Linked DNA regions of Sus scrofa. The protein of the gene in region 2 purifies or fractionates together with the protein of the main gene of each other region. This does not show direct contact. Links are inferred from orthologs where the notes say so. Each region holds a gene or a part of one and is shown on either strand. Other genes may lie near its edges.

Region 1 (4,479 bases), on a different chromosome or scaffold from region 2:
GGCTCAGATCTGGCATTGCTATGCTGTGGCATAGGCTAGTGGCTAGAGCTCTGATTAGACCCCTAGCCTGGGAACCTCCATATGCCACAGATGCGGCCCTCAAAAGGCAAAAAATAAATAAAGACAAAAAAATAAGTTAAAAAACAAAAGGGAGAGGCAGTATAGGAGCTTCTGCTGTGGTGAGTGGGTTAAGAATCCAACTGGAGTGGCTTGGTTGCTGTGGAGGTGAGGGTTTGATCCCTGGTCCAGTGGTTAAAGGGTCCGGCATTACTGAAACTGTGGTGTAGGTTGCAGCTGCAGCTTGGGTTCAACTCCTGGCCAGAAAATTTCCATCTGTCACAGGTGTGACCAATTTTTTTTTTTTTTTTTTTTGGCTTTTTAGGGCCGCACCTGCCGCATATGGAGGTTCCCAGGCTAGAGGTCGAATCGAAGCAACAGCTGCCAGCCTATGCCATAGCCTATGCCACACAAGATCCAAGCCAAATCTGTGACCTATACCATAGCTCACACAACACCAGATCCTTAACCCACTGAGCGAGGCCAGGGATTGGACCCACAACCTCATGTTTCCTGATTGGATTTGTTTCTGCTGCGTGATGGGAACTCTCAATTTTTTTTTTTTTTTAAAGAGAAGTAGTATAGCAGAGAGACCTTAAAATGGGGGTGGGTGCAGAGAAGATCAGTGCACAGACTGAGAAAATAGATGATATATGTATGTGTGGGGAGGGTAGTATTCTTTCTATTAGGAAATAGGAGTTCTCTTATGGCACAGCGGGTTAAGGATCCAATGTTGTCACTGCAATGGCTTGGGCGCTGTTGTGGTACAGGTTCAGTCCCTGCGCTGTCACATGCCAGGGGTGCAGCCAAAAAAAAGAAAAAGGGAAAAAAAGAAGAGATCCTGAGGGGTTTTTTGTTAGGTCCAGATCCTTATCCTATGCACTGCCAGTAGAGGGGACTTTGATCAAGGCACTGTGACTCAAGCTTGCCAGAATAACATCTAGGATGTAAGGCCTCTGAAGCAGTCCTAGGACATAAGGCAAAATAGTATCCCATATTATCCCTAGAAATTCTTTCACTAAATCATTCTCCAGTGAATAGATCAAAACAACAACAACAAAAAACTTACACAAGCTATATATTCTATAAGAGTTGTATCATATCAATTTTAAGCATCACTCTTAATTTTTAATGCACATGGATGATGTGCACTTAAGGAATACACTGTTTAAAGCAGTCATATAATAGCTCATTTTGAAAAGATCAATGATAAATCCTTGTAATAAAAGTAGGTTTTATATGTAAAGTTTGCTTAAAGTAAAATCATGCTACAAATCTACAAAAGTTTCCTCACTGGGTCTAGCTGTGCAATAAATAACATTGTAAGATGGGCTTAAGGAGCCATGGATTGGCAGATATTACCTGTAGGCAAAAGAGGTAACTGTCTAATCAGTGTTACTTGAGGGACACTAACAGCAGCCCAATTCTCTCACCAGAGACTTACTCCTTTGGTTTAGGTGTTTTTATCTCCCACCAGTACGTTCTAAAGGGATAAATCCCAAATCTTGTAGCATGAACTTTGCAAATTACTTTGGTACAGAACTAGACAACACTAGTGAGAGCATTATGCAACGTGGCAGAAAGAAAACACAGGAGAGAAGTGAGGAAGGTGAGAACTATGGAGTGCTGTGGTTATGTTTTGTCTACTTTCCAATGCATTCCTTACTTCCACTCATTTTCCCCAAAATCCATAAAAAGTCTTGTTACTAGGTCTTCAAGTTCTTCAACAGTTTAAACTCTTTCAAGACAGTGTCACAAGTCATCCTAGAGATGATATGATGTGTCAGAAAAGGGAGAGCATCGGGATCTAACTACTTCGCTAGTTGAGTGACTTGGACATGTTTCTTGGTCTCCTTAGGTTTTTGTTTTTGCATCTTAAAATTACTCTAAGCAGATAATAGAATTCTCTAATGACTCTTCTGGGTATAAAGACTTGCATATTTCCCACAAATCTTCCATCATGTGTATACCGCTAATCTCTGCAGATGGTTTTACCTATTTTTCTCAGTTTCCTTTTTTAGTGAAATTTCTCAACTTCTTCATTACCTCAAAATTTCTTTCTCTTCTCTTAACCCCACTTTCCCCATTCCCTTGTCACATCTGCTATTTCTATTTCATTACTCCCTCACATCTTCAATTTCTCCCTCCATTGGCTCTTTCCCTTTGACCTGCGAACATGCGCTTCCTTGCCGAATCTAAAACTACCACCCCCTTGAGCTAGTCTCCCTCTTCTCTTCTCAAAATTAACACCTTCCTTCATTCAGGTTCCAAGGTTTTATGGGTCTTCTTCGCCAATATTTTTTTCCCCTGGCCTTTAAAGATGCATGCCTCCCTTGCCGCTCTCCTGTATCCAGCGTCTCCCGTAATGCCTCAATATTTCACACAAACGAGCGTTATTTGGAGATTTATGTTTTAGCACCCACCCGTACTTCCCAACCCCGCCACCCATTACAATCTACAGGCGGTATCACTGAATGAAAAAAAGCGGGGAACACTAATCTTTATTATCGCCCATGAAATGATCTGGAGTAACTCACTCGCCAGACACTTGAAACACCTTCTCAGAATCAAGATTTTGCAGAACCCACAGCGGACTAGACACTTCTGCCGCCCGCAAGGAGCTCCACTTGCCTCGAACCTAGCACAGCCTCCAGCTAACCCTCACACCCACTCCCGCAGCCAACACCACCACCACCACCTCACAGCCATCTTCTGTCACCACTTTGGGCACCCCCTTAATGACGCCATAGCCCCCACGCACCTGAGTGACCAACCCTGAAGCTACGAAATGGCCCAGCAGTAGCCCGGCAGCGTTTGGCGCGGAGGCCAGGTCCCAGGGGCTAGCGGCAGCCATGGCTGGGCAACACCTTCCCGGGTGGCGCGGAGAGTGAGTGGAACGCTCGGCGCGGCTCGATGACGTCACAGGGTGTTTCCTCCCGGGCGGGGAACTCATCCCCTGCGAGCGCGGGTCCTGGTTCTTTCTCCACCCAGCCGGCTGTGAGCTGAGGGGTAGGAGGCGAGTTCCGGGATTCCGGATCCTCCCTAGGCTCCTAGCGGCGGCTGGTTTCGGAAGAGCTGCAAAATCGGCAGGGCCTGGTGTTCTGCTCTTTCTTCCCAGCCACTCTTGGGCTGGCCCCCAAGATCCAGGGATCCGCAGGAGGTGACAGCTGAGGCTTCAGACCCAGCCGGGAGGCCAACCGGGTGGCTGGGTGCCTGGACCGAGCGGTGACAGCTGCGCTTCCTTCCCACAGGGACCTGAGCAGTGGCGCTAGGATGGGAAACAGTGCCCTCCGTGCTCATGTGGAAACCGCGCAGAAAACTGGTGTCTTTCAGCTTAAGGATCGTGGGCTGACCGAGGTGAGACTGGAAGGACTCGGACCAGGGAATTTAAAGGGAGAGGGACGGCGGGCGGGGAAGTTAAAGGATTCTCTGCGCTGTGAACCCCTTTCATCAGTTCCCCTCAGAGTTGCAGAAGCTGACAAGCAATCTCAGGACCATCGACTTGTCCAGCAACAAGATCGAGAGTCTACCGCCTATGATTATAGGGAAGTTCACTCTACTGAAGAGCCTCTCCTTGAACAACAACAGACTGAGTACGGCTTTTGCGCCTGGGGAGGCTTTTGCGCCTGGGGAGGTTTGCTCCTGGGGAAGCTTTTGCTAGTGATAAGGTGTTAAAGAGGGTGGTTTTTCTCTTGGAATATAGTGTGGAGTGTGATTATAATGTTATAAAACTAGTTTTCAAATAAATATATCAGAATCTTAAGGGAAAAAAAGGGTGGTTTTTTCCTAACAAGCTGATTGTTGTTATGAAACAGTTCAGGAGCTCAAGACTAGGGAGAATGTCTGAGTCCTTGAAGCTTTCTATCTGTTGTAATTATATTTATAAGCCTCCTCTGGTATTGTATTGTTGGGGATGGGGTTAATTTGGATTTGAAAGGGACTGTCTTTGGGAGGTAATGTAGGCAGGGCTAATTTTGCTACTGATTTGGAAGGGCAGATGGGATGGAAAGGGGAGGGTGTTCCAAATCCCACAAAACTGCTGTGGGATTGTGCAGTGGCCCCTTCACAAAAGGAGCCCATTATACACATAATGCTTTCCCGCATTTTTTTTTTTTTTTTTTGGTCTTTTGTCCTTTTAGGGCCACACCGGCGGCATATGGAGGTTCCTGGGCTAGGGGTCTAATTGGAACTGTTGCTGCTGGCCTACGCCAGAGCCACAGCAATGCCAGATCTGAGCCACGTCTGCAACCTATACCACAGCTCACAACAACGCCAGATCCTTAACCCGCTGAGAGGGGCCAGAGATCAAACCTGTAACCTCAAGGTTTCCTAGTAGGATTCATTTCCGCTACACCACGATGGAAACTCCACTTTCCTGCATTTTGATCCTCACCTTCTGAAGACTATGTTGGTAAAAAGGTA
Region 2 (4,522 bases):
GCATTAACCTCCTCACTGGTCTCCCGGCTCTTGCCCCTGCAGTCTGTTCTCCACTCAGCAGTCAATGATCCTGTTAGAACCTCAGACAGATGATGTCACTTTTACTGGAAATCCTTGAAAACAATGTGATGTGTTCCCATCACACAGAAAAACAACAATAGGTATCAGGAACTCTTCTAATATCCCCATTCTACAGAACTTAGAAACTGAGGCACAAAGTTAAATACTTTGCCCAAGGTCCCGCAGCTCTAAGGGGCTGAGCCTGGGCCTGAACCCAGCCTGAGTAAAATCCCAGTGTCTCCATGGCACTCTGTCCAACTCTGCGACCTGCCTCCTCATGCCTCCCCTCATGCCTAAGCTGAACTGGCCTGTCAGCTGTTCTACCAAATGGCAAGCTCAGGTGTCCCTCCCCACGGAAATTCTCCTCCCAACTCAAATGTTATCTCCTCAGAGAGGCCTTCTCTGACCATCCTACTTAGAGTAGAATCTCCTTCTCCTTTTCCATCATATCACCTCTTCTTCAGAGCACTTATTTCTACCTGTGATTATAGTCTGCTTCCTAGTTTACAGTTTGCTCCTCTGTATCACAGCATGACCTCCATAAGGGCAGGACTGACCCTTGTTTATTCCTTTTTCCCCCTAGCATGTGTTCCAGATATACAACTAGCACCGTTCTAGGCACTGGAAATACAGGTGGTTGAGATGACAAAACCTCCTGGCCTCATGGACATTAAATCCTAAGGAGTGGAACTCAGAACTGGAGGGGTCAGGACAGAGCACTGGGTCTCCAAGAATGTCTGCTGAGCCTGGTGAGTGCTGGTCCCCGGCACCTGAGGCCCACCTCTCAATGTCCTGCAAGCGCTTGAGCTGATTCTGCAGCCGCTGTGTCGGATCTTGGAGCACACGCTGCTGTCTTCGTATGACCCCAGCTTGGGCCCGGAGGAGGAGAGCACGACGCTGGGTGTCTTGCATCCTCTGTACAGCCTGCTCCATGGCCATGTCTGTGAGAGGAACAGAGGTGGACATTAGCACTTTCCCTAACCCCGTTCTGCTGCCCATCTATCTAGCCCCACGGGTCACCCTGAGCTTCAGTCTCTCGCTCCATCAGCTCCAGGCTCTGGTCTAATTCCAGGATCTCTGCCTGCAGGCGGGCAACAGCGGCTTCCAGCTCCAACTTCCGGCGGGCCTGGTGGAATCAGGTATAGGGTCAGATGCATGGCTTGGCTGCCTTTTGTAGAACACCGGTCTATATGCCCAGGTGACTGGCTGAGGGTTTTCTCTAGGCAGTTTCTGAGCCTGGACCTCCAGGCCCAGGAGAGCACCAGAGTACTATCCTGTTCCCCTCCTTCCTCTTGGGATTACCTCATCTACTCTCCCAACCTGCTTCCTGTCTCTGTCTCAGTCCTCATCTCGTGTCGAGCCCTACATGTGGGAGTCCTGAGGTCTCCTGGGCACCAGGCACATGCTGGGTCCCGTACTGGCCTCAGCATCTCTCTCAAACTAGTCCTTTCTCCCATCTCCCACACCAGCTTTGCTGACTCATATCTATGACTCCCCACCCCCAGCTCATGTCTTCTCCCTGTGAGCACTGGGATCAGGGCTGTCTTGTGACAGTGTCCCTAGCATCATCCACACAAGGCTGGGCCTAGAGCAGAAAGCCTACAAGTCCTCTTTTTGGATGAAATAAAATTCTTGCAGCACATGCTTCTCACCTCTGGACTGTCCTGGAGGCCATACCTGAGGAAATGAGGCCAGAGTTAGAGAATGATAAGGACTTTGAGGGGGAGACGGGAGATGTGAGGCTATGGGTGAGGACACGGCTGGATAGGACTGGGGAAGACAGGAAGGGGCAGCTTTGAGGACCAGTTACCAGAGCAGGTTTCCCCGGATCTTCTTGACACTCCTACAGTGGAGAGGTAGGAGGGAGGGGAGTTACTGGGGGACTCACCTGGGTCCCCTCCCCTGCCACAGGTTCCCTCATGCAGCCAGGCTCACCTCTGGCTGTGCACATGCCTCAAGACGTAGGCCCAGATGTCAGCCCCCTGGCCCAGACACAGCCTGTGGGAACAGCAATGTGTGCCTGGGACATCACACAGGGTGGAAGATCCTCATTCATAGCACTGTGCGCGCGCGGGAGGGGGGGGTCGCTTTCTAGGGAATGCTCACCTGTGGGGGCAGGGAAGGTCCACACTTTCCAGGGTAAGCTATTCCCTCCTGGGAAATTCTCAGTTACTAAGAGGGTGGACTTCTCACTGGGTGTAGGGGGATTTGCATTCCCTGGTGGGTTGCTCCCCTTCTCCTGGGAAAGGGTCATCTCCAGTTACTTCTAGAGGTGGGGGTGAGGGCTATAATGTCAGGAAGGGCTCTCTCATTACTATACGTGCGTCATCACTCCTAAAAGATTCAATTTCCTAGTGGAGTGGTCTTTGCTGACTCCAGTGTCCTCACTGCCTGGACTAGGGTGGGGTGACGAAGTGCTGCAGGGACAGCCCCGCCCTGGAGATCCAATTTCCACACGAGAAGGGGGGCTTCATTATTATTAACTCATGGAGGGTCCCCACGGGTGCAAGGTACCTCTCTGGGCGGCCTCACTGGATGAGGGTGGGAGTGTGGGCATCACCGCCAGAACGTCCTCACTCAATTCAGGATCCTCTGCCTGGGGGGTCGGGGTTACCCTCAAGGGTTATCTCACTGGGGCAGAGGGGAGGAGGGGGGCGGCACGTCTTCGACCAAGATGTGGTTCTCGCTCCCAGAGACTCTATCTTCAGGGTGGGGAGTTCTCGCTTCCACAGCGGCCCTCACCTGCGCAGCGTCGACTCCGGGGCCCGGGCCGCCACGGGCGCCTCCATTTCTTCCGCCGCCCAACGACCCAATTCCCGCGCTTCCTGCGCTAACTCCATGACAGCGCCTCGGCCGCCGCCTCCTGCCTCGTATTCAAGTGTGGCGGTCGCCTCTGACGTCACGAGTGCGCCGGAAGTGACGCTATCGGTCGCCAGGCAAGCAGGGGCTTTCCCGCCCTGCAGGGTCTCAGAGCCCACCGACATCGCTCACGCCTCCCGGCTTGGTTCGTTTGAGTAAGGATGAAAGAGGTGTGGAGAAACGATGGGGCCGTTTGCTTTCTGCGTCCTCATTCCTACCGCTAGCTGTTCCCTAAGACGCAAAAGGTCCCTAATACCTCCCTTCATTTTCTTGACAAAATGGGACTTTAATCCTAGGAGGATGAGAATCAGGCGAAGAGATGTCAAACTTAATGCTCTTTGATTTCCACAACAGGGTGTCCCAGGTTCGAGTGAGGGATGGAAGGCAGATTGCATGACCCTAATGTCTCCCTGGCATGCTTTCTTTTAGGTATTCGTTCGTCCTTACCATTCCGTAACATTCGTGAGCTGACCCTGTGCTGGGGATGCTCCGGTGGCTGAGACAGCCCCAGTCTCCATGCTACGGAGCTCACAGTTCAGTGAGGGATATAGACGCATCACCAGGTAGGGATGGTAGATCATAAGCAGCAGGGGTGGGTCAATCTGGGACACAAGGAGTGTGAAAGGTCTGTGGAGTGTCCCAGAAAGCATTGGATACTAAGGCTGGAGTCCTGGAGAGCCCACTCAGCCTTAGACATGGCTCTGAGAAATGGTAACATTCAGGGACCTTTCATTCAATATGCTTGCCTCGTTCATCATTCTGTTCTTGTTGAATAAACACGTGGGGAGAAAGACAGTGCGGAGAAACTAAAGCTGAGAACCCAGGGAGGAGGATGGAACAGGATGAGTAGAGGATGGGGGTGAGGACAGTGCTTGGACCACTGTCAGGCTGAGCAGGTGGGTCATGTGAGGTTGACTGGCAATAGGGGGGGCATCCAGGGTGATGTCCAGGTCTCTAGGTTCAAAATGGAACAGACTTTGAAATGGAGAGATGAGAGAAGGATCAGCTTTGGGGGAGATGCTAATGACATATGAGACTCTATGGGTGTGAAGAGTCAAGGGGACATCCAAGGGTCTTTGGAGTCTCTGGTCCAGGGACAAGGGGACTCTGAGGTCACCATTAAAGTAGAAAATTTGGGGGAAAAGCTGAGTTTGTCTTCAAATGCTTCATAAGGGCTGAGATGCAAAAGAGGCTGCCAGGGACTAATTCGACAAGTGTAGCAGAAGTACCATACTCCTGCAAGATGGTAATAATAGGGGGAAATGTGTGTGGAGGGAGGGGATGTCAATGGGAATTTAATTTTTTTGTGTGATTTTCTCTAACTGTAAAAGTGCTCACCAAAATTAAAGTCTATTAAAACAAAAGTACTGGCCGAAAGCTGGAACATTGTTTAATGAATACCTATAATCATAACCTAATGACAGTAAATCAGGTGCACCTTGACCCAAGCTATATAATTATATATAAATATAAAAGGATTCTGTATGTTTCAAATACAAAATTAAAGCCAAATAAGAGATAACTACCAGCAATTTCCCCTCCAACTCTAAAAAAAGCCACCCAGGGGTTATTAGACACATCTTCTCAAGATACCTAAGAGAGC

What was found.
Region 1: the proteins of HAUS5 (region 2) and HAUS2 purify together in Homo sapiens (affinity purification with mass spectrometry; 5 studies listed by BioGRID and IntAct, with this or other methods). This does not show direct contact. The link is inferred for Sus scrofa from reciprocal best matches to the Homo sapiens genes HAUS5 and HAUS2.

Annotation. Positions count from the first base shown.
Region 1 is NC_010443.5:128,836,103-128,840,581, forward strand, and holds the start of HAUS2 (HAUS augmin-like complex subunit 2), read right to left. Parts: upstream 2,926-4,479; 5' UTR 2,912-2,925; coding exon 2,819-2,911; intron 1-2,818. Other genes in the region: LRRC57 (leucine-rich repeat-containing protein 57), read left to right, coding at 3,331-3,414, 3,512-3,650.
Region 2 is NC_010448.4:45,056,245-45,060,766, reverse strand, and holds the start of HAUS5 (HAUS augmin-like complex subunit 5), read right to left. Parts: upstream 2,967-4,522; 5' UTR 2,901-2,966; coding exon 2,803-2,900; intron 2,059-2,802; coding exon 1,996-2,058; intron 1,904-1,995; coding exon 1,871-1,903; intron 1,738-1,870; coding exon 1,713-1,737; intron 1,187-1,712; coding exon 1,081-1,186; intron 1,002-1,080; coding exon 842-1,001; intron 1-841. Other genes in the region: ATP4A (potassium-transporting ATPase alpha chain 1), read left to right, coding at 3,081-3,089.